3 linked regions of the Stegostoma tigrinum genome follow. The protein of the gene in region 2 purifies or fractionates together with the protein of the main gene of each other region. This does not show direct contact. Links are inferred from orthologs where the notes say so. Each region holds a gene or a part of one and is shown on either strand. Other genes may lie near its edges.

Region 1 (7,938 bases), about 1.3 Mb from region 2:
GGCTAGGTCAATGTTTATGGATGTGAATAGTACTGTTACATTGAGGGAAGAAACTGGAGCTCCTGTAGGGATAATAAAATGTGAGGCTGGATGAACACAGCAGGCCAAGCAGCATCTCAGGAGCACAAAAGCTGACGTTTCGGGCCTAGACCCGGGTCTAGGCCCGAAACGTCAGCTTTTGTGCTCCTGAGATGCTGCTTGGCCTGCTGTGTTCATCCAGCCTCACATTTTATTATCTTGGAATCTCCAGCATCTGCAGTTCCCATTATCTCCTGTAGGGAACCCACACAGACATAGACAGAACGTGTAAAGTGCACACAAACAGTTGCCCAGTGCAGGAAACAAATCTGGGACCTTGCTCGATCAAGTCCTAGAGACTTGATTCTTCAGGAATGTTGATATCTTCTGAAATATAGTTCTGGTCATAGTTTATACTCACATTGATATTGACCAAGGAGTGTTAACAAGGAGGTAACAATAGAACATGTCGACAATTGTAATATAAGAAGTCACCTGACAAAAGAGCAGTGCTCCAAAAACTAGTGATTTCAAATAATCCTGCTGGACTATAACCTGGTATCATGTGACTTCTGACTTTGTGTGTCCCACTCCAACACTGGCACCCCCATATTATTAATTTAAAATGAGCACAGACCCAACCTGCTCAACATTTCCTCATTAGTCTGATTCCTTAGATGAAGGCATCTGTCTTATGAATATTCTCTCATTATGAATATTCTCTCAACTGCTTCCAATGCAAGTATTTTTCTCTTAAGAAGACAAAAAACATACTGTAGTTCTAGTCTCACCAATGCCAGATACAACTGTGTCAAGACTTCCTGACAGTTCATTTTCCTTGTAATAAAGGCCAATGTTATCTTTACCTCCTAATTACAAACTGATCCTTTGTAATTCGAGTCAAAGAGCATCCACATTCCACTACACTGCAACATTCTACCGTCTCCCTCCTTCTAAATAATACTCTGCCTTTCTTCTAGCTGACGTGGACAATCTAATTTGCCCCACACTTCATGTCAAACTTTTGCCCACCAATTAATACCTCTTTATATCTTCATGACTAGCTTTCCTGTCTAACTTGTGTTGTCAGAAAGCATGGCTGCAATTGGACCCTTCAAGTCACAGGCAGATTGTAAGAAGTTAAGATCCCGGAGGTGATCCATGGCACTTCACTATTTATCCCAGCTCTCTCTGGCTACCCAGCCTCTTTCCGTGCTGTTGTATCACTCACAAATCATTTTATCTTGTGTGGTTCTTGTCAAATGCCTTTTGGAAATCCGAAATGATACCACTCTGTCCACCCTGGCTGTTACATCTTCAAATAACACACAAGCTTGTTAAAAATGCTATGCGTTGCACAAAACCATGTTGATTCTGCCCTATTATATTACAATTATCTCCATGCCCTATTGCTACCTCCTTGATAATGACAGCATACTATATTCTTGAGGTTATACTCACATCTGTATAACCATGACCAGTGCTATATCTTAAGATATCAGATGACCCTGAAGAATCAAGTCTGTGTCTTTAGAACTTGCATTTTATCAAACAGTTAATCCCTGAACACTATGGACAATCTAGCATAGCCAATCTACCTAATGACCACATCGTTGGACTTGTTCAAAAAAAGGACAAATCCCATCTGGCCAATTACTTTTCCAGTCGATATTACATTCCCAGTCTATCTTTGATCTTCAGGGAGGTGATGGAAGCTGTTACTGAGTAAATCAATTTGGCTGAAGACTGGTATCTGTGGGAAGAACTGGGATAGACCATTCACTCAGCACTGCAGTACAAATATAGATGAAATTGGTTCAGCCTCGTCTTTCACACAGATGTGCTGGGTCTTCCAGAATTGAAGATGGGTGTGTTTGTGAAGCTTCTGCTGCTCCGCCTCCTGTTAGTTCTTTAATTATTAATTATTCACAGCTGGAACAAAAGCAGGAATGCAGACACTAGATCTGTTGTTTGTGGGAATTACTTTGCTTGGTCTCTTGCAGCTGCTTCTGCTGCATGGTATATGTTTTAGCTTTCCCAGGCTGAAAATTTAATTTTAGATATGCTAGGTGCTCCTCCTGGAATGTTTTTTGTACCCTTCACTGAACCAGTGTTGATCTCACAGCTTAATGGTTATGGTGGAATGGGGATAGGTTAGTCCATGAGTTACAGGCTGTGATTGAATACTATTCTGCTGATGATGGCTGTCAGCACCTCCAATAGATAATAAAATGTGAGGCTGGATGAACACTGCAGGCCAAGCAGCATCCCAGGAGCACAAAAGCTGACGTTTCAGGCCGAGACCCTTCATCAGAGAGGGGGATGGGGTGAGGGTTCTGGAATAAATAGGGAGAGAGGGGGAGGTGGACCGAAGATGGAGAGAAAAGAAGATAGGTGGAGAGGAGAGTATAGGTGGGGAGGTCGGGAGGGGATAGGTCAGTCCAGGGAAGACGGACAGGTCAAGGAGGTGGGATGAGGTTAGTAGGTAGCAGATGGAGGTGCGGCTTGGGGTGGGAGGAAAGGATGGGTGAGAGGAAGAACAGGTTAGGGAGGCAGAGACAGGTTGGACTGGTTTTGGGATGCAGTGGGTAGAGGGGAAGAGCTGGGCTGGTTGTGTGGTGCAGTGGGGGGAGGGGACGAACTGGGCTGGTTTTGGGATGCGGTGGGGGAAGGGGAGATTTTGAAGCTGGTGAAGTCCATATTGATACCATTGGGCTGCAGGGTTCCCAAGCGGAATATGAGTTGCTGTTCCTGCAACCTTCGGGTGGCATCATTGTGGCACTGCAGGAGGCCATGATGGACACGTCATCTAAAGAATGGGAGGGGGAGTGGAAATGGTTTGCGACTGAGAGGTGCAGTTGTTTATTGCGAACCGAGCGGAGGTGTTCTGCAAAGCGGTCCCCAAGCCTCCGCTTGGTTTCCCCAATGTAGAGGAAGCCACACCGGGTACAGTGGATGCAGTATACCACATTGGCAGATGTGCAGGTGGACTGACCTATCTCCTCTCCACCCATCTTCTTTTCTCTCCATCTTCGGTCCGCCTCCCCCTCTCTCCCTATTTATTCCAGAACCCTCACCCCATCCCCCTCTCTGATGAAGGGTCTAGGCCCGAAACGTCAGCTTTTGTGCTCATGGGATGCTGCTTGGCCTGCTGTGTTCATCCAGCCTCACATTTTATTATCTTGGATTCTCCAGCATCTGCAGTTCCCATTATCACCTCCAATAGATACCCAGTTTTGACTTGCTAGATCTGTTTGACATACAACACATTTAACACAGTGGTAGTGTGACACAACATGATAGAGTGCATCTTTAGTGTCAAGACAAATTAAATTGTCTACAAAATTATTACAATAAACACAGGTTCCTCTCATCAGGAAAAAGATGAAGTGTTGCAACCTTACCAGTATTCGCAGTAAGATGGAATTTATGCCAGTTGAGATTCTCATTCACAACAGAAGAACCAATATTAAAAAGTAGAAATCAGCCTACACAATTCATCTCTGAACAACAGAGTAACTTACACCACATCTCCCGTTTTGCATGTGAACACTAAAGTCTGAGATAATCATTTATGAATACTATACATGGAAGAGTTGAAAAACAGTACAACCACAGAAGTTCTTTTCTATATCGGGTTTCTAAAATACGCTTGGTGTCATAAGCTCCCAAGGCAGAACGGAACTTGAACTGTATGGTAATGGCTGAAATGCCCCTCTATTTTCTTAGATTTAGAATTTTTATAAAGGCAGAGAAAGTATCCCTAGTGGACCTCTGGACAAGAAGGTGTAGGTTCAAGACCCACCCAACTCATGAGGTGTGTCAGGACATGTCTGAACAAGGTGATTAAAATAATGATTTTCTCAGACTTTTCCCGCTAGTGCGTGCGGTTTAGTGGACTGATATGAAGTTTGATTGCTGCAAAATAAAAAGCTGGTCAAAATGGAGGTGTTTTTATCTCCTTCCAATTTCTACCTAGTGAACTTCTTCCGACCTCCATGCCCAAGGATTTGAAATAACTCTCAGACTCCAACAGTCACACAGAGAGTTTAAATGGGGCAATCTTAGGAAATGTTTAGGGAGGACTAAAGGCTGCACCCAAAAAAAATCAGATCAAAATTCACAGACTGTGTACAACTCCAGGAGGCCTACTTTCTCTATCTGTTTGGGTTCAGTGAAGCATAGCTATGCAGAGTGGTTCCGCACAAGGCTTCTGTGCCAAGAGATGATGTAAACCAAAATAAATTGCTTATGCCCAAATGAACTTTTGCATTGAATCTTGGCATCTTAAGATGAAAACTGGCTTCTATGTTTCCTATATTGCAACGGTAACCAAACTTCAAAAAGTGCTTCATTGGTTATAAAGTACTTTGAGACATCTGGTGGTCATGAAAGCAGCTACATAAGATGAAGGGTCTAGGCCCGAAACGTCAGCTTTTGTGCTCCTGAGATGCTGCTTGGCCTGCTGTGTTCGTCCAGCCTCACATTTTGTTATCTTGGAGTCTCCAGCATCTGCAGTTCCCATTATCTCTCACATAAATGAAAGTCACGGTTTTTAAAAAATCCTGACTCTGAGAAGGATGTCGCCTTCACTTTCATGAAGTGATTGGGGAAGCGGACCCTGCCAATGAGCGCTGAGTTTAAATGCCTGTGCGATCTCCGAAAACCAATGATGTGTGGTGTTTGAGACGCCTTTGATTACCATAGAAACGGAATGAGCAGGCCCCTGTGTGGTTTTGTACAGATTTAGGAGTTGTTTTATAAATAAGTAGTCTGTGGGTTTGGTTGCTGTTTTTCGCCCAGTTTGATGCATTGAATGCCCAGCGATTTCTGGCATGATTTTCATATGCGGCGTTGTCTTTTTCCCGGTGCTTTGTCCGTAATAGTTTTAAAGTCGGACCCAGCCGTCGTCTCAATCCGCTCGTTTTAGGAATCTTTACAGAATAAGAATTTCCTGCGTCCATGGATTTAAATTTAAACCGCGTTGACTACCTGCAGGTTGTAGACGTGATTCCGTTATCACCTGGGTTGGAATAAGAGGCGCTAATAGCTGTTAAATCCAGTAGATGGAGAATAATTTTGACACCTTTGCCGTTTGAGGATGGGAGTGTTGGTAAAGATTTTAGTTAGTAAAGATAAACTAGCATACATATTGCTACACAAGTGCTGGATTTCATGAGAAGAGAATGTCTTGTAAACAAATTAGTTTCATGTTTAGAATTTCTGTTAGGTAATACTTAACAAATCTATGTGAAGTGAACTCCATTATTTCAGGCAATAGAATTCCAAGCAATGTCCTGGTCCCAAAGTTCATCTTCAGTTTGTATTACCAGAGGGATGATAAGGTCGCTGGAATTAGCACACTGACTTTGGAAGGAAGTGGAAGTTCCTGTTCCTGAGCCAGATTTGTTGACCATTGCTCAGAAATATAAATGTTGAACTTAGCAATCTTTTACTGTATACGTCCTATTATTGTGTCTACTTGAAAACATTAAGTTGGTATAAATTTGATACTGTTGTTCTGATTTCAATGATGTGATTAAATCATCCTCCTGCACACATTAGCTGAGATTTTTTTAACAGCCAGTCAAAAATCCTATCTCCCAAAAGAGCAATTGTAACTTCCAACTTACAAAAGTTGTACTTACTGTGGTGATAGCACAATAATGGTTATTTTGCAGGCTAGGTGGATTGGCCATGCTAAATTGCCCATAGTGTTCAGGGGCGTGTGGGTTATCGGGGTATGGGTCAGGGTGGGGTGCTTCAAGGGGTGGTGTGGACTTGTTGGGCTGAAGGGCCTGTATTCACACTGTTGGTAATCTAATCTAATCTAGTTCTTCTGATGAGAAAGGATGTATGACACAAAGGATCAGTAAAGATGCAAAAAGTTGTCAAGAAATTTAGGATGGTCTAATAAAGGGTGATTTTTTTTCTGTTGTATGAAGTAGACTGGGGCATCAAGACTCCTGTATCTGTAATGGGCTTGTGAAACTTTAGTAGAGTGTTACAGTTACACTAACGTTGGTCCAGTTTTTCTTTGACCCATCCCATAGTGTGGTGCATTCAGGGACTAGAATAATCAATGTTTATTTGTTGTGATGTTGCTGTAAGTAGCCCTTTTTTCTTCTCCTAGGTAGGAGTGACTTCCCAAAAGACCATGAGGCTGCTACCTGCATCAGGACGCAGAGCAATCCAAAAGGTTAATTCACATTAAGTTAACACATGTAACTTGTTTTTTCAGTTCCAGGCAAAAGTGTGGGAGAAAGGAAAAAAGATGTCCTATCCTTGATGTAGCACCACGTAGTTTTCTCAGCAGGGATGTTTTTACTGTATGTTGTGACATTATTGGAAAGCATATTTAAGTAGAAATTTGCATTTTAGTTTTATAATGGCCAAACAATAGACAGATCTTACAGCTAAGTGATCATATCTAAAGTCTGCAGGCCTATCACATGAACAGTGAATGATGCTGGACAAGTAAAAGAACTGGAGAAAGACAGTCTGCAAATATCTCAATCCAGCTCAGTGGTGGGGGAAAAAAAGACAAGGTTGAACCATGGCATATATCTTCACCCAGCAGTGCCAAATAGACAATTCATCTCGTTGTCCTCCTGAGGTCCCAATTAGTTTTCAGCTAATTTGATTCACTCCCGTGTGATATTGAGCAGCGACTGAAGGCATGGATAGTGCAAAAGCTACGGACCCTGACAACGTTCCAGCAACTGTGCTGAAGACTTGGGTACCAGTTTTAACTGTGCCCCTAATGAAACCATTCCATTATGTCTACATCATTGCCAGGTAGCTGCCAATGTGGAAAATTTCCCAGTTATGATCTGTCCACACAAAGGATAAATCCAATTCACTGAATTACTGCCCTTTTGGCCTCTCTCCATCATGAACAAAACGTTGGAGAGGTCACTCTCGCTGCTGTCAAATGGCACTTGCTTAGAAAATTCTTTTTGTTGAACCTTGGTTTGAGTTGCTCACGGGCTACAGAGCTCCTAACCTTATTACATCCTTGATCCCAAGATTGTCACAAGAGCTGAATTCTAGAGGTGAGGTCAGAGTGATTATCAAGTGCAGCCTTGATGTTAAGGACAGTGTGTGGTGTCAAGATGTCCCAGCAAAACTGGCTTCAATGGGAATTAGAGCCACGTCTTATACAAAGGAAGACACTTGTTGTCGGAGATCAATCATCTCAGTCCTGGAGTAACATTAAAGGAGTTTTTCAGTTTAGGTGTTTTCCAATCAGTCTGTTCAGGGATATTATTAAACACTTTCAAAGCAGGTGACATTTGATCCCAGATCTCTCGGCTCGAGGTCGGGACACATCCACTGTAACTCCAGAGATCTTAGTTCCTCAAGCTAATGCCTTAGTCCCAACAATCTTCAGCTGTTTTAGCAATGATCTTTTTGCCACCATAATGTCAAAAATAGGGATGTTGCTGCTAATTGTACGACATTTAGCAGCATTCACAACTCGAGATACTGAAATAGTCCACGTGCAAATGCAACAAGACCTGGACATCATCCAGGCTTGAGTTGATTAGTGGTAACATGCTAAGCACTTATGTGGCATGAAACAATCATCTCTAACATGGGAGAATTTAACCATCTCCCCTTGGCATTCAATGACCTCATCATGACAAAAATTGTGACTGTCCACATCCTGGGGTTACAGCTGACCTGAAACTAAACTGGTTTAGCCATGTAAATCCTGTATTCACAAGAGCAGTTGGGAATTGTGAGGCATAACTCACCACGTGTTTTCCCCAGTGTCTGTCTGCAATCTACAAGGCAAAGTTAGGAGTCTGCTGGAATACTGTCCATTAGCCGGATGAATGTTGCTCCAACAGGACTTAAGAATTTCCAGGACAAATTTGCCTGCTTGATTGGTACCAACCTACCAACTTTAACATT
Region 2 (7,226 bases):
GAATATTTTATATGTTTCAGTTAAGTCACATCTCAACCTTCTTCTCTAATGAAGACAGCCTCAAGTCCCTCAGCCTTTCCTTGTAAGACCTTCCCTCCATACCAGGCAACATCCTAGTAAATCTCTTCTGCACCCTTTCCAAAGCTTCCACATCCTTCTTATAATGCGGTGACCAGAACTGTACACAATACTCCAAGTGCGGCCGCACCCGAGTTTTGTACAGCTTCACCATAACCTCTTGGTTCCGGGACTCGATCCTTCTATTAAAAGCTAAAACACTGTATGCCTTCTTAACAGCCCTGTCAAACTGGGTGGCAGCTTTCAAGGATCTGTGTACATGGACACCGAGATCTCTCTGCTCATCTACACTAAGAATCTTACCATTAGCCCTGTACTTTGCCTTCCGGTTACTCCTACCAAAGTGCATCACCTCACACTTGTCTGCATTAAACTCCATTTGCCACCTCTCAGCCCAGCTCTGTAGCTTATCTATGTCTCTCTGCAACCTACAGCATCCTTCGTCACTGTCCACAACTCCACCGGCCTTAGTGTCGTCTGCAAATTTACTAACCCATCCTTCTACGCCCTCATCCAGGTCATTCATAAAAATGACAAACAGCAGTGGACCCAACACCGACCCTTGCGGTACACCACTAGCAACTGGTCTCCAGGATGAACATTTCCCATCAACTACCACCCTCTCTCTGTCTTCTTTCAGCAAGCCAATTTCCGATCCAAACTGCTATATCTCCCACAATTCCATTCCTCCGCATTTTGTACAAGAGCCTATTGTGGGGAACCTTATCGAATGCCTTGCTGAAATCCATATACACCACATCAACCAGTTTACTCTCATCTACCTGTTTGGTCACCTTCTCAAAGAACTCAATAAGGTTTGTGAGGTACGACCTTCCCTTCACAAAACCGTGCTGACTATCCCTAATCAATTTATTCTTTTCTAGATGATTATAAATCCTATCCCTTATAACCTTTTCCAACACTTTACCGACAACTGAGGTAAGGCTCACTGGTCTATAATTACCAGGGTTGTCTCTGCTCCCCTTCTTGAACTGGGGAAAGTCATATTACAAGTTATATTAAAAAAAATTAATACATGACTTTCAGAAAACAAAAAAAAAGTTTACTACAGGTGTCAATGAAGATAAAAGAAGAATCAATCAACTAGACCATTAAAGTGGTAATTGTTACTCTCAGAAGACTGAGATGCCAGGCATCCATTAGCTGAAACAGCAATCTCCAAGAAAAAACACTTTCAAAGATAGCTTTTTCTCTTAGATCTATCTGCTAATTGCTCAATGCTTGGTTACATGAGATAGGAGTATCAAGTGCTTGCAGTTACCCCGGTACATTCATCTTATGTCTAGAATTCAGCTTGAGTCAACAATTGGTACAGGCCTGGAGCTAAGAGGTTCTATCAATGAGCAGATTGTTGGTGAGTGTATGCCTCTTTAAAGTAGTGTAGCCAACTCCCTCAGCACTTTTTCTGATCACTGGAAGGAGGTTGGCAGGAGAGTAATTAGTTGGGTTGGCTTTGTCCTGTTTGTTTTGATAGATCATACTTGAAATAACTTTCTGCATTGCCAAGGTTAATTCAAGTGTTGTAGCTGTACTGGAACAGTTTACCTGTTGATGCAGACAGCTCTGTATCACAGTTTTTCAATGTCATAACTGAAAAGTAGGTGGAGCACATGGCCTATGATGTATCCAGTACACTCATTTTTGTGGAATTGAAAATAAAAATTAGAATTCAGTCAGGGTGATATCAAAATGAACTTCTTTACACAAACGATAGCAGACATCTGGAGCGTTCTCTCCAAAAACCTATTGAGCCCGTGTCAATTGAAAATTTCAGAAGAGTCTGACAGATCATCATTAAAAAGTGCAGACACATGGGAACACCATCACCTGCAAGTTCCTTTCCCAGTCACACACCATCCTGGAACCATTTAGGTCTTTTGCTGGGTCAAACTCCTGTAAGTACCTTCCCATCAGCAATTTGGGTGTTCCCACAGACCAAGGAATAAAGTAGTTGAAAAAGACAGTATACATCGCCTTCTCCAGTACAATTGGGGATGGTCAACAAATACTGGCTTAATCAGTGACTCCACATTTCCATGAGAGAGTAGTACAAAAAGACAGGCATAGAGAATTATTGAACTAAGGTCGTCAATGAAGATAAATACATACAGATCAAGCATTATCTAATTATATGACAAACATGCTCCAGTCATTGAGTGACATTCTCTCCAGGTTAGAATGAAACTGAATGAATATCAGTATCTATTGTGGGATGAGGGGCGAATGTCAAGAAGCAGCTGAGGAGGATCATCTAGGCAGCACTTCGAAGTATTATTTAATGTACTGATTTATGAACTGTGAGAAGGCAGAAGATGGAAATCAACAGGAGGTTTTCTTGCCCATACTTGATCTCAAGCCATAGAGTTGTTGGGTTCAGCTGAAGATTCCAATAGCTACTAGCCATTGTCTGCTAATTTCTGGTGAGTTATAATCAGGGATTGTGGTATAATAGTTGAAGACATTGGTTGTTCTGTGAGTGCGTGACTGATCTAGGGGAGTAGTCTCCCAACTCTGGCACCAGTGCCCAGATGTTAGTGAGGGTAATTTTATTCCAAATTGGCTGGCTGGGCATGCCTTTAGAATGTTTTGAATTAATGTCAAGTTTAGTTTGGCACTTAGTTTGCTATGTAACTGTTTGAAACAGTTAAGTGATTTGTCAGGATACTTCAGAGAAATACTGCTCATCTGATCCCTCAGTTCTCTTCACTCTTTGGGTTTTGTCTTGTCTACTCTGCATGATTTGATGAAAGGTTTCCTGCGGAATCCGAATCATGTATACAATAGCTGGAAAAGGCCAGCAGGGGCTGGTGACCCTTCTTCAGAATTGAGGAACAGTTTTGAGGAAGGGTCACTGGTCCTGAAACTTTAACTCTGTTTTCTCCTTCACAGATGCTGCCAGGCCTGCTGGGCTTTTCCAGCAACTTTTGTTTTTGTTCCTGATTTACAGCATCCACAGTTCTTTTGGTCTTTGTCATGTATGCAGTACACTGCTCTGGTTAGATGTTCTCATCTTCAGTTTGGAAATTAGTTAATCTCATTTCTGAATTCTAAAAGTTGATGGATACCAAACACTACAGCTGAGAAAGACATACAAACCTTGTTGTGAGGGCAGGTTTCTTTCCCAAAACTATATTAATGCGCTAGTTGCCTTTTTATAAATAAGCAATTTATTTCCAAGTTCTCCAGATTACTAGGCCAAAAATGTACAATCTGTTACATGACAAATCTGCCCGAATGCCTTATATCAATTGCTGTTCGCAAAAAGAACAGCCGTTTTTCTGAAGCTGTGAGAGCAGCTTTGTTCAAAATGACGATTTGCACATCAGAGCTTTTGAAAGTTTGGAATTGGGGTGCATGGTCGCTTTGGCCTCAAATTCCAAGAAGGATCATTCGAGGTACTGAAATTTGACATATCCATTTGATCGAGTGAATCATAACCATTATTTTGGATTTGTAAATATTTAAACTGTCAGTATAATTTATTTTCCTGTAAAGTAAATTTAGGGTTTATAGCCTATTAAAATTGGATAAATTTGATTTTGAATCGACTTAACCGAAACTTGTAACACATTTAATTATCAATTACATAGTAAGAACAAGTGGAAGGGCCACTTATTGGAATCAATACATTCTTCTGGATTGACAATATTTAACTCAACCACGAGCTCTCAGTGGGCACCTCTCACATGTTTTATAAAGCTATTAAAGTGGAAGAAAGCAAAATTTAATCAGTGAATCATACAATAAATAATCAACTCAGTAGAGAATTATGTCAAAAAAACCTTACCATTGCTCGAAGCACGTAGATAAATCGTATATAAAACAAAACCCGAAGCTGATATCTTGCACCGACCGTTTTATCCTTCCAACATAAACAAACTCTCGAACACCTCACTTAGTTTCCCAGACAAACGGACGCTTAATCGTCAACAACCGGGGTGGGCGCGTTGACGTCACCTTGACCGGCACCTCGGTTGACCAACCACAAATCGGTGTCAGGCGGGGCGGGAGAAGACGCGCACACCCCAACCAATGGTCTTCGAGAGTGGGCGCGACCCATGACGTCAGAGCTGGCGGGGAAAGCGCGCGGTTGGTATCGCAGCAACCCGCTCAAACAGGCCGCAGGCATGCGGAAACGCACCAAAACATCAACAACTGTGCAGATCTTATATTTTGGTAGTCGTTTTTATTTAATGATTTAAACATATTTTTGGCTAACACTTGTGCGACTAACAGCTTACATGCGTCATTTCCGTTGTTTAAAACGGAGACTTTGGTCCAAAAGGCGGTTTATTATGTCCTGAGAACTACCTGGGTTCCGGAGGCGGCTGCATGAGAAATGGAGCAGGTAACCAGCTATTCACAGGTAATGTCTGCAGCTCGGACTCTGAGCTGGCTGAAGGTGTGGTTTCCGCTCTGCTGTCTGCAGTAATTGGCCTATGGAAGTAACGCATCGTCATGAGGAAGAAAGGACATTTACAAGTCTGTTCATGAGGAGACACCAATCCGATCATACTCCCAACACAAAACCTAATTTACGACCCCCGTGAAAGTTTAACACACCTGGCCATGTTAATATGATCATTGTGTTCTGGTAAAAGTCTTTGAGCAGCAATGTTGGATTTAATTTTTGATCTGAATTGCAAGATGACCAACTGACCCAGGGTATATACCGTAATTTTATATTGTGGCCTGTACATTGACTTCCCGGGTCACCATTTCGAACAGCGAGTGGGATACTGTAGAGGCAACTTTCCACTTACCTCTACGCTGATATCTTTGGTGTTTATGCAAACACACAGCACCCGCACATATCGACTCCTCAACGGTAGGAAATGTTGGCTGACGGTCAGCATTCAGGAAGGTTAAATTGTCAAAGTTTGGTACCTGCTTGAGTGAGGGAAAGAGTGGCGACCCCAAATCTGGGACTGCGTCAATTGGAGCGTGAAGCAAAAGCTCCTGTGGGAATCGTAAGAGTTGAGTGAGTGGAGCTGACCCTAAGTGAGAGGGGTAGATGGGAGGTTTAAGTAGAGAAGCTCAGGATTGAGTGCCTGAAGTGGGGTGGAGTTGGGTGAGTTGTTCGTCTGTTGGGGTGCAGTGCGTAGTGGAGGAAGCAGCAATGTGGAAAGTAGTTGAGTTGTGAGGGCAGACTTACAAAGCATCCTATGTTTGTAATGTTCAACTCACCAGTCCTGTCAGCCCGTTACCATGCTCTTCGATGTTACTTCACAACCTCCACCTCACAATCCCAATGAAGATAACCATTTTGAAGACATAGAAATTTACAATTTGATTTGGGAGCACTTTTTCAAAGCGTGCCAACACCCAACTTCTTGACCCACAAATAAAAGGTAAAGTTGCCAAAGCCCTTTAAAGTGTTGGTAAGGATTTGTACCTTGGGTTGTGTCTAAGTCCTACCAGACCACAGCAAGAGCTGATTGGTGCTAGTTTACCTGAGGGTCACTGTGCCTCAGATGACAGGAGATGTTGAGAAAGAGAATCCTCATATTAACTTCAGTCAATGTGGGAATTGAACCTATATTGTTGGCATCCCTTTACATTGCAAATGAGCTGTCCAGCAACCTGTGCTAAACATTCCACCCACCCACTCCCCAGCCACATATTGAAAACCAAGCCTGTTAACTCTGTTTCCATTTTTATTTCATACAGTTCTAGAGTCACTGGTGGATTACTGTGTGTCCATCCCAGACCGATAACTGGCTCTCAAAGAAGACCTTTTTTAAAAAAGATCTACCCCATCTTTCTGCACTAGATAACCAAAGATTAGGACTAATGGCTAAAATTTTAGAACATCTCCCCTAATTGAATTGAAGGGTTTATTGTCATTTGCATTTTACAGTGAATAATACACCAAAATTTAGTGAAAAGCTTCAATCTTTGCCACATTTTGAATAGTTTAGGTATTAAAAGAGTCAAAAGATACATCTGAAAGAGAATCTGTCTTTATTCTGGTGCCTCCAACATGAGTCCTGAACCAGTGCACCGATGACACCTGTGTCACTACCCTCCTTCACTGCCTCGCCACCACCTGTGCTGGACCCACCAATGTAAACGTCGCCTCTCTTTAGATGCCATCTCTTCGCTGCTGGGCCCACTTCACTGAGTCCAAGTCCCAGATTGAATCCACACTTGCCCCATCTCCTGTCATCTGAGGCACAGTGCCCCAGGAGTCGCTGGCTGTCACTGCCTTGCCAATAACCAGAAGTCCCCGATCCAGGCGTATGGCACCTGCAACCAGGCATTCCTGGTTCTGTTGCTCCCTCAATGACACCAGAGGTCCCTGCTCCAGGTGTTCTGCCACCTTGCCAATGCCAGGAGTCCCCACTATCGGCCTACTGCAACCAGGAGTCTGTGGCTCCGCTGCTGCCTCGATGATGTCAGGAGTCCCCACTCCAGGCTTACCACGTTGCAGCTGCCACCTTGACGGCTCCAGGAGTGCCCTTCATTGGACCGACTGCAATCAAGAGTCTCTGGCTCCACTGCCAGGCCAGGTTGCCATAATGCCAAGAATCTAGTTCCGGGCACATTCTTTCGAGGTAGCACCTCACTGCCGTCTTGAAGAAGCTGCCCCTAGCCCCGAATGCAGGGAGGATGTCCTTGCTGCTGCTGCCGCCACAAATCACTAGGAGGAGCAGCATCCACTTTGACTGCCAGGAAGCTGCTGCCGTTTCTGTGCACGGCCCACTGTCGCTTGTGCCAATGCTGCCAACTAACCTGCCAAAGAAAAGAAAAAGAAAATAAAGAGCAGAAGTAAAAAGAAAAAGGAAAGTAGATAGTTGGGGATGAGATCCAAGCAAGACCCTTACATGCAGTCCTGTTACTCTGTTCCCATCTAAGTTGATGTGAGACATGTAGGCAAGTGAATGGTATTTCCCTGGGTAATAGGAGGATAGAGCATGTGAATGAATGACTGGAGAGAGTGTGCAGGAAGGTGAACCTTCTGGACTGATTTTGGGGAGGTGCAATCTATATAGGTCAGTTGCGCTGCATCTGAACAGCCCATTATCTTTCCAAGATGTGTTGTAAGTACAACTGGGGAGGGTTTAAACTCAGTTCTATGGAATGGAAGCAAGGTGTTCAATGAACTAGGAGACTTGGTGTACTAG
Region 3 (7,912 bases), on a different chromosome or scaffold from region 2:
ACTCTCTCAAGCCGTTCCCGTTCCTATAGATATACAGACTCCACGAAAAATTGCTGGGATCAAAAACTCCAAGCTACGCAAGATCCCACAGGATGTATTTTTCTTCACCCCCACCCCCACATGCTGCTTGAGAGACGGGACATTGCTATCTGAGCGTCCAGGTTAAGTTATTTCTGAGCTCCCTTTCTCCACCCCAGCCTCCCCCAGTAAATTTTCTGAAGAAAGGTCCCGACCCGCAATGTCAGCTTTCCTGCTCCTCTGATGCTGCCCGGCCTGCTGTGTTCATCCAGCTTCACACTGTGTGTTATCTCGGAATCCAGCATCTGCAGTTCCTGCTATCTCCGGCTGTAGGTTAATGTGGAATGTATTTATGTTTAACAGCTTGAGCACAGTTAAAGCCATTCTGTGCGTTTTTGTTTTGCCAAGGTATTTACCAGACTGAGATTGTTGAAGTAACAACGGAAGTTCCCAGTTCTGACGAAGGGTCACTCGACCTGAAATGTTATTTCTGACTTCTGTCAACAGATGCCGTTAGACCTGTTGAGCTTACCCAGCAATTTCTAATTTTTGGTTTACAGAATCCACAGTTCTTTAAGTTTTTACTGAAGTTGCTGAAGACTCACTAGACCTGGAACGTTGGCCCGAGTTTCTCTCCACAGATGCTGCCAGACCTGCTGAGTTTCTCAGATGCCATTTCTGCCACACCAGCAAGATGCCGCCACCAGACACACATGCCCTTCCCCTCTCCTCCTCTCTCTTGTCCGCATTCCGCAGGAACTGTTCCCTCCAGGACACCTGCACTCCCAAGAATCTAGTCTACTGCATTTGCTGCTCACAATGTGGTCTCCTCTATATTGGGGAAACGAAGCATAGACTTGGCGACCGCTTTGCAGAGGATCTATGTTCTGCTCACAAAAAAGACCATGAACTACCTGTTGTCTGCCACTTCAATGCACCACCTTGCTCCTTGGCCAACATCTCTGTCTCCAGCTTGCTACAGCGTTCCACTGAAGCCCAGAACATGCTGGAGGAAGAACACCTCATTTCTGCTTGGGGACCCTACAGCCCTCCGGATTCAATATTGAGTTCGATAATTTTAGGGCCTAAATTCTTCCGTTCCCAGTCCCCACCCCACACACCAGGTCTTGTTATCACATAGCCTGCCACTACACATCCCCTGTTGTTCATCACTAACAGTCCCTATTAATAATTATTCACCCTCCCAGCCTGATTGTTCGCAACTCCTTTGTCTGTCCAACTGTGTCTCTCTCTCTCTCTCTCTCTCTTTGGGCTCTATCCTGTCGTTTACTCCCTACCCCACCCACCTCCATTATTTTCTGCATATAAACTGATGTTTTCCAGCTACCATCAGTTCTGAGGAAGGGTCATCGGACCAGAAGTGTAAACTCTGTTTTCTCCTCCATAGCTGCTGCCAGACCTGCTGAGCTTTTCCAGCAACTTTGTTTTTGTTGCTGCTGAGTTTCTCTAACATTTTTCATTTTTGTTTGAGGTTGCTAAGCCTTTCCTTACCTAGCTTTTACAAGCCCTTATTCAACCTTAGTATTTTGTTCATCTCTGAAATGAGTCACAAACCCATTGACTCAAGATTGGGTTTATTATTTGATCTCTCTAATTCCTGACTTGTCCTAAGGTCTAACTTTGTTTTAGTCTGATAGCTCTATCCTAACACCCATTCTTTGCAGCAATCGACTCCAATCTCTGACTTCATTAATTTTGAAATCTTAATTTTCAGTTGTCCAAATGGCTTTGCTTCACCCTATGTCTAATCTCCAACATTGTTGTCCTGACTCTTCAGTCCTTTTGACCTTATTTAAATGGTATGACATTCATATCTCACTGACTAAATGTTATTGTATTTGCAGGTGACTGTTTAAATCAGACATGGGTCTCAAAACTGTCTGGAAAAACTACAGAGTTTTAATTGTTATGGGAACAAGTCTTACACTGATTCACTGGGGATGGTACAATATGAAGTCTAGTGAAACCTTCAAGAACAGAAACCAAGACTATATTCCACAGCCAGAAGTTTTGACAAGTATCATCCAAAAGGAAAGCCGACCAAAGGGAAATTAGTAATTCGATTTGCTGGGTAAGCCATACCCCCTTCATAAATTATGTCAAGAGTAGGTAAATCACCTCAAATTATGATGTTTGAAAAGTGTGCAAAAATACACAAAACTAGGTTACGGCTTGTTTGCAGGAGCTTATCTATTCTGTAGCAATACAAGAAAACAACTGTGTGTTCTTGAGGTTCAAATATCCCTTTTAGTTTTAATTATGGATTTGGGAGAGTATGTGGATGGTTCCAGGTCTTTCCTGCTTTCCTTGATCAGAGGACACGGTGACTATCTTTTGGGTGGGTGCCTCAACAGAAAGGCAAAGGGGTTTAAACAGAAAGAGTACATATTTGACACTTTTTTAATCAAACTCTGTTAACACAACAAGCTGCATTTATAAAACAAAAGTAGGATTTGTTGTCATTTCTAGGATATTTAAACAAAGGTATGTCATTGATGGTAATCCAATAGGTACATGTGTGAACTTAGTACGATGTTCTGAAGTCCAGCAAAACCATTACTGTTATCATTGAAATGACCTAGATTTGAATACATTTCCAAAATTGGCAACCAGTTCATGTCTTGGTAATACAATAATTATGTATAATAGTGGTACGTGTCAGGAGTACAAGGAGACAGAAGTGAGAAAATAAACTGAAAAATGGATGGTGCAATTTAATTGTGTTTGGATTTGAAGTGCTTAAACTTTGGGAGCACTAACATGGAAAGACATTATCGTATGCTTGGTGCTATTTTGAGGAGGATGTATAAACTTGAGAGTCTGCAGCACAGGTTCTTAAATGTTTGAAGTGCCAGGGCAAATGTAGAAGGTGGTTAAGAAATTAATTGGAATGCTGGGTTTAAAACTGTACAAACCAAGATGTCAACCATTTAGACCTTCGACCCTGCCCCACCTTGCAATAAAATCATGACTGATCGGATTTTAACCTCAAATCTGCATTCCCATCTAACCCTGAAAACATATCGCCCCAACGCTTAACAAGAATCAGTACATCTCTGCCTTAAATGAACAGAAACCTAGGGATGCAGGTACATAGCTCATTAAGAGCGGTGTCACAGGTAAATGGTGGTGAAGAAGGCATTTGGCACACTTGCTTTCGTTAATCCAAGTGTTGAGTACAGGAGTTGGGACGTCATGTTACAGCTGTACAAGACATCGATAAGGTCACATTTGAAGCACTGCATATAGCAGCTAGAAATGATGCAGAAGAATTTACAAGTATATTACCAAGCTTGGAAGTTTTGAGATATAAGGAGACGCTGGAAATTTTTTCTCTCGAGTGGGACTGAGGGGATGACCTGAAACAGTTTTATAAAATCACAAGAGTCGTAGATAAGATGAATAGCTGAGGTCTTTTCTCCAGAGGAGGAGAGGGGAGTCCAAAACTAGAGGGCATAAATTTAAGGTAGGAGGGGAAGATTTAAAACGGATCTGAGGGACAACTTGTTCACACAGAGGTTGGTGGATATGGAATGAGCTGCCAGAGATAGTGCTGGAGGTGGATACAGTTACAACACTTAAAAGACATTTAGACAGGGTACTTGGATCCAAAAAGTTTAGAGGGAAATGGGCCAAATGCGAGCAAATGGAACTCGCGCAGTGTAGGAAACCTGGTCACCTTGAATGAGTTGTGCCGAAGTCCTTGCCGTACGACTCTGTAAATAATGCGTAAAGGACAGCTTCTACTACCACCTTCTTTTCAGGAATAGAGTTGCAAAATCTCGCAACTCTGAAAGAAAATATTTCGCCTCAGTTCCATTTTAAATGGATGACCCCTGATTTTTAAACAGTGACCTCAAGTTCTTGATTCTTCTATAATTCATCCTGTCCAGACTCCTCAGGGTCTTTAAAAATTGGGAAAATAAAGACTAAGAAACTCTTAAAAAAAGCTTTACCGCTTTCTGGATAGGCTTCAGTTGAAAGAGCTGTGGAATCAGATTTCATAATTTTTTTTAAAGTCAATTGGGCATGTAGTTGAAAAGTTCAAATTTACAGGTATATGGGGGAGTCCAGGCTGAAGTTTAGGACTAAACTGTTTCAGAACCAGCGGCATGATAGACTACGTTGTCTTCTCAATGATGTAGATTCTATGATTGGAAAACTTAATTTTTTTAAGCACAATTTAACTGTCTGTATTTTCTATTTACAGATAATAAATTGGAATGCAAATATTTCATTGTCGCATCCTTACAGAAGAATGAGAAATAAAAGATGGCTACGCAAAAATTGGCTTCTGGTGGCAGGACTGTCCTTACTTGGCATCCATAGTGTAACCTACTTGATGCAGAAATTTGTAAAAAAATCAACAAGTTTAGAATTGAAGCAGAAAAATGTAGATAAATAATAATGAAATGCCAAGCAAGATGAATCTTCTACAATGCATCCAAATTTTGCTCTTCTGGTTGGTTTAACGTTGAAATATATTTCAATGGGAATTTCAAATTATTTTCATCTTCTATAATATGACTGGCACGTTTGGAATGTACAACCTTTTAAATGAGCAGAGGTGAAGTGCTGCATGTTAAATTTCAGTTTCCTTTTGCAAATAATAAACCAACTAATCCTTGCAAGTTTGCTGTTTTCAAACCTTCCACTCTACCTGAATGATGGCCTCAATTGTGCGTAAAATAGCATCTTCGTGCAGCTCCGGACCGTTAAATAGTGATGTTCTTTGTCAGGCTCTTTCCACTCTCAGAGGAATTGTGGAGTCCTGTTATGGCCCATTTGGTAGACTTAAACTAATTCACAATGCTGTAGGAGGCTACGTTTTAACCACATCACAGTCTTCAGCCCTTTTGCGTAGCCTTTCTGTGTCCCATCCTGTGATCAAGTTACTAATAGCTTCCGTGCTGAATCATGTTTCTCGATTTAGCGATTCTGGACTATTTACAGCAATTCTCTGCTGTAATTTGGCTGAAAGTGCAAAACAACTTAACATATTAACCAGTCACATTGTCAAAATCCATAAACACCTTCTGAATATTTGCCTTGACTATCTAACTTCAGAAGAATGTAGCTGCAAAATACAAATAGATTTTAGTAACAGCAAGACTTTGCTTTCGCTTGTTCGTACGATGATAAATAAGCCTACTTGTATGCTGACCACAAAAGAAGCTGACTACATCAGTTCATTAGTGTTAAAGGCATTCTTTTATTCAATACCATCTGTGATCGGAGATAATATATCTTTGGGAAAGATGCAGATTGTTCCCATTGAGGGACAACGTGTTACTGACTCTTGTGTGCTTTCTGGGATCCTTATAGAGATATTTTCATCTCCTTCAACAACAGTTGATATTACAAAATTGACAATTGGTTACATTAAGGTTGCTGTATTCAATGTCTCCATGTCAGGAGATGTTGTTGACAGTGGAAATGGAACCTGGGAGGTGACACCAGGTTTCAGGCCAGAAGATGAATCACTTGCACAGCTGCTGAAAGTGGGAAAACAGCTAGTTTGTGACCAAGTTCACCTTGTGGTATGCCAAAAAGTAATCCATCCTGTTCTAAAACAATATCTTCAGGAGCAACAAGTGATGGTAGGAGATAGACTTGGAGTTGCTCTCATGGACCCTCTGATTCAAATAACAGGTCGGTATGTTAATCACTAACAATACTTCACCGAGTGCCTTTGATGTTTGTGCTTAGGTTCAAACTTTGAAGATGAAAGTGTTCATATGTTCTTCATTTTAGTATTGGTTGTTTAGTGTTTTCTTTTTGTTTTAACTCCCTAAGACTTATTGCTAGGTTGCAAGAAATATAAACATATATTTTATAGTTCCAAAATAATAACTTGTGCTTTACATCAGTTATCTGTGGTAAGATTTTCTTAAAATCATGAGAATGGTGTCATTAACCTAGTTGTGTAACTTATTTAATTATGTGATTCAAAACCAGTTTCCTTTCGTAAATGTAACTGAATGTCCTTTTAGCCATAGATTAATTGCCTGCCATTTAGATTCCCATTCTACTTAACACCAATTAATATCTGCACCTAGTTGGCAAAAAAGACCTCAGAAGGCTGTTTTGAAAGATATAAGTACATTAGCAACATGACCTAAGAATTCATCATTCCTTTCAACATTTGGTGCTATCTTTAACACTTTTTTAAAAAACAAATTCTTGGTGGTCTGCTACATAATATTAGTCATCAAGTTTTCCCTTGCGGTTTTCTACATGATAAGTTCTGTGTCATCCATACTGGCTGTAAGAGGTGGCAAAATAACACAAGAGAAAATGTGCGCTCATCACACATTGCTCTTGCATGATTGCCCATACATAAGTGACCAGCAGAGAGACTTGGGAGCACACTAACCAACCTGCCTACTTTGAATCATAGAATCCCTACAGGGCCTTCAGCCCAACAAGTCTATACTGACCCTCTGAAAATCCCATCCAGACTCATCCCTCATAACCCACCTAATCTACACATCACTGAACACTATGGGCAATTTAGCACAGCCAATTCACCTAGCCTGCATAACTTTGGACTGCGAGAGGAAACCCCAGCACCCAGGGGAAACCCATGCAGACACAGGGAGAATGTGCAAAGGCTGAGGAATTGTGCAGAATAGAGGATCTAAACTGGAAAAATATGAAATTATAGTGATCAATATATGAGAAAAATTAGTTTTCAATCAAGAAACGTCATTTTTTAAAATTACATTGTTATGAGATATGGGCTTCATTGGTAAGGCAAGAGTTTGGTGCCTATCCCTAAAAGACCTTAAAACTGAGTGACTTGGACCATTTAAGAGGGCATTTGAAAGTCAACCACCTTGCTTTGCATCTGGAGTCACACAAAGGTCAGACTGGCAGATTTTCTTTCCTGAAGAATAGTAGTAAATCTAATGTATTTTTAAGACAACCAGTGATAGTTGTCATGGTCACCAGTACTGAGGCCAGCTTTCAATCTCAGATTTTATTGACGGCATTTAAATTCTACCGGTTGCCACAATGGGATTTGAACCCATATTTCCAGAGCATTGGTCTGAGTGTCTGGATTATTATTACCTATTAGAGTGAATGTTACAGCTTTCAGTGTAGATGGCTGATTTGAACAGGTTTCAAAAAATGGGTCAATTAAGGTTGAGTACCTACACATTAAAATTCCTGATATCTGCCACCGAATTCTCTATTAACCAGAATTCTGTGAGTGGGTCTGTTTCTTGACTGGAGGTGTTTCTTATCCATCAGAAATCAGTATTAATCTACATTCCCCATCAATTCCAACTGTCTCGCTATTGCTCATAATTGCCACACTCATTGGTAGTCATGATGAGCAGCCTGCCTTCACTCTGGTCCTTCCAAGTCCACAATGTCATATTCCTTTGGTGCAGCTCACTAGATTTGCATGCTCCATCTGTTGTGGAATCTCAACACCTGCATTACTGTGTGATCATTCAGGAGCTTTCTGATTTGATGAAAATGTGGATCTTAACTTGCATCTTTGTTTATCGATATGCTTGATTAACCAGCACCCTCCATTCCTGGAACCTGTTGGATAACAGTAACCTTCTTATAGCTAAGGTAGCTTAAAATATCATTTGGGTAGTTTTGTGCAGTGACTACAGAATAGATATGGGAATAATGGTTGGCAATAAAATTTACGCTGAGAGCTTGACATTGATGAAATGCTGAACCCTATAAGGATTTGTTCTTAGCCACAAACTTTTCTTTGCACACCTTTCATCTGAAGACCAAATCAGATTTGGACAAGTAGGAGCAGTTTAGTTCAAATGTCAGTCATTGACCTTACATATCAGATGGAGAAATATTGTGTTTCACAAGTCTAGCAAAGCAAAACCTATTT

Evidence for each region. The genes of interacting proteins can lie anywhere in the genome.
Region 1: the proteins of bbs12 (region 2) and bbs7 purify together in Homo sapiens (co-immunoprecipitation; 3 studies listed by BioGRID and IntAct, counting the BioPlex papers as one, with this or other methods). This does not show direct contact. The link is inferred for Stegostoma tigrinum from reciprocal best matches to the Homo sapiens genes BBS12 and BBS7.
Region 3: the proteins of bbs12 (region 2) and mkks purify together in Homo sapiens (co-immunoprecipitation; 4 studies listed by BioGRID and IntAct, counting the BioPlex papers as one, with this or other methods). This does not show direct contact. The link is inferred for Stegostoma tigrinum from reciprocal best matches to the Homo sapiens genes BBS12 and MKKS.

The regions. Positions count from the first base shown.
Region 1 is NC_081354.1:36,654,183-36,662,120, forward strand, and holds the start of bbs7 (Bardet-Biedl syndrome 7 protein), read left to right. Parts: upstream 1-4,728; 5' UTR 4,729-4,980; coding exon 4,981-5,016; intron 5,017-5,024; exon of another isoform or gene 5,025-5,119; coding exon of another isoform or gene 5,120-5,131; intron 5,132-6,151; coding exon 6,152-6,217; intron 6,218-7,938.
Region 2 is NC_081354.1:35,335,730-35,342,955, reverse strand, and holds the start of bbs12 (Bardet-Biedl syndrome 12 protein), read left to right. Parts: upstream 1-4,173; 5' UTR 4,174-4,431; coding exon of another isoform or gene 4,432-4,438; coding exon 4,439-4,465; intron 4,466-7,226. Other genes in the region: uncharacterized protein cetn4, read right to left, coding at 3,887-3,889. UniProt on the Homo sapiens protein: Component of the chaperonin-containing T-complex (TRiC), a molecular chaperone complex that assists the folding of proteins upon ATP hydrolysis.
Region 3 is NC_081362.1:7,624,610-7,632,521, forward strand, and holds the start of mkks (McKusick-Kaufman/Bardet-Biedl syndromes putative chaperonin), read left to right. Parts: upstream 1-4,702; 5' UTR 4,703-4,703; coding exon 4,704-5,691; intron 5,692-7,912. UniProt on the Homo sapiens protein: Probable molecular chaperone that assists the folding of proteins upon ATP hydrolysis. Plays a role in the assembly of BBSome, a complex involved in ciliogenesis regulating transports vesicles to the cilia.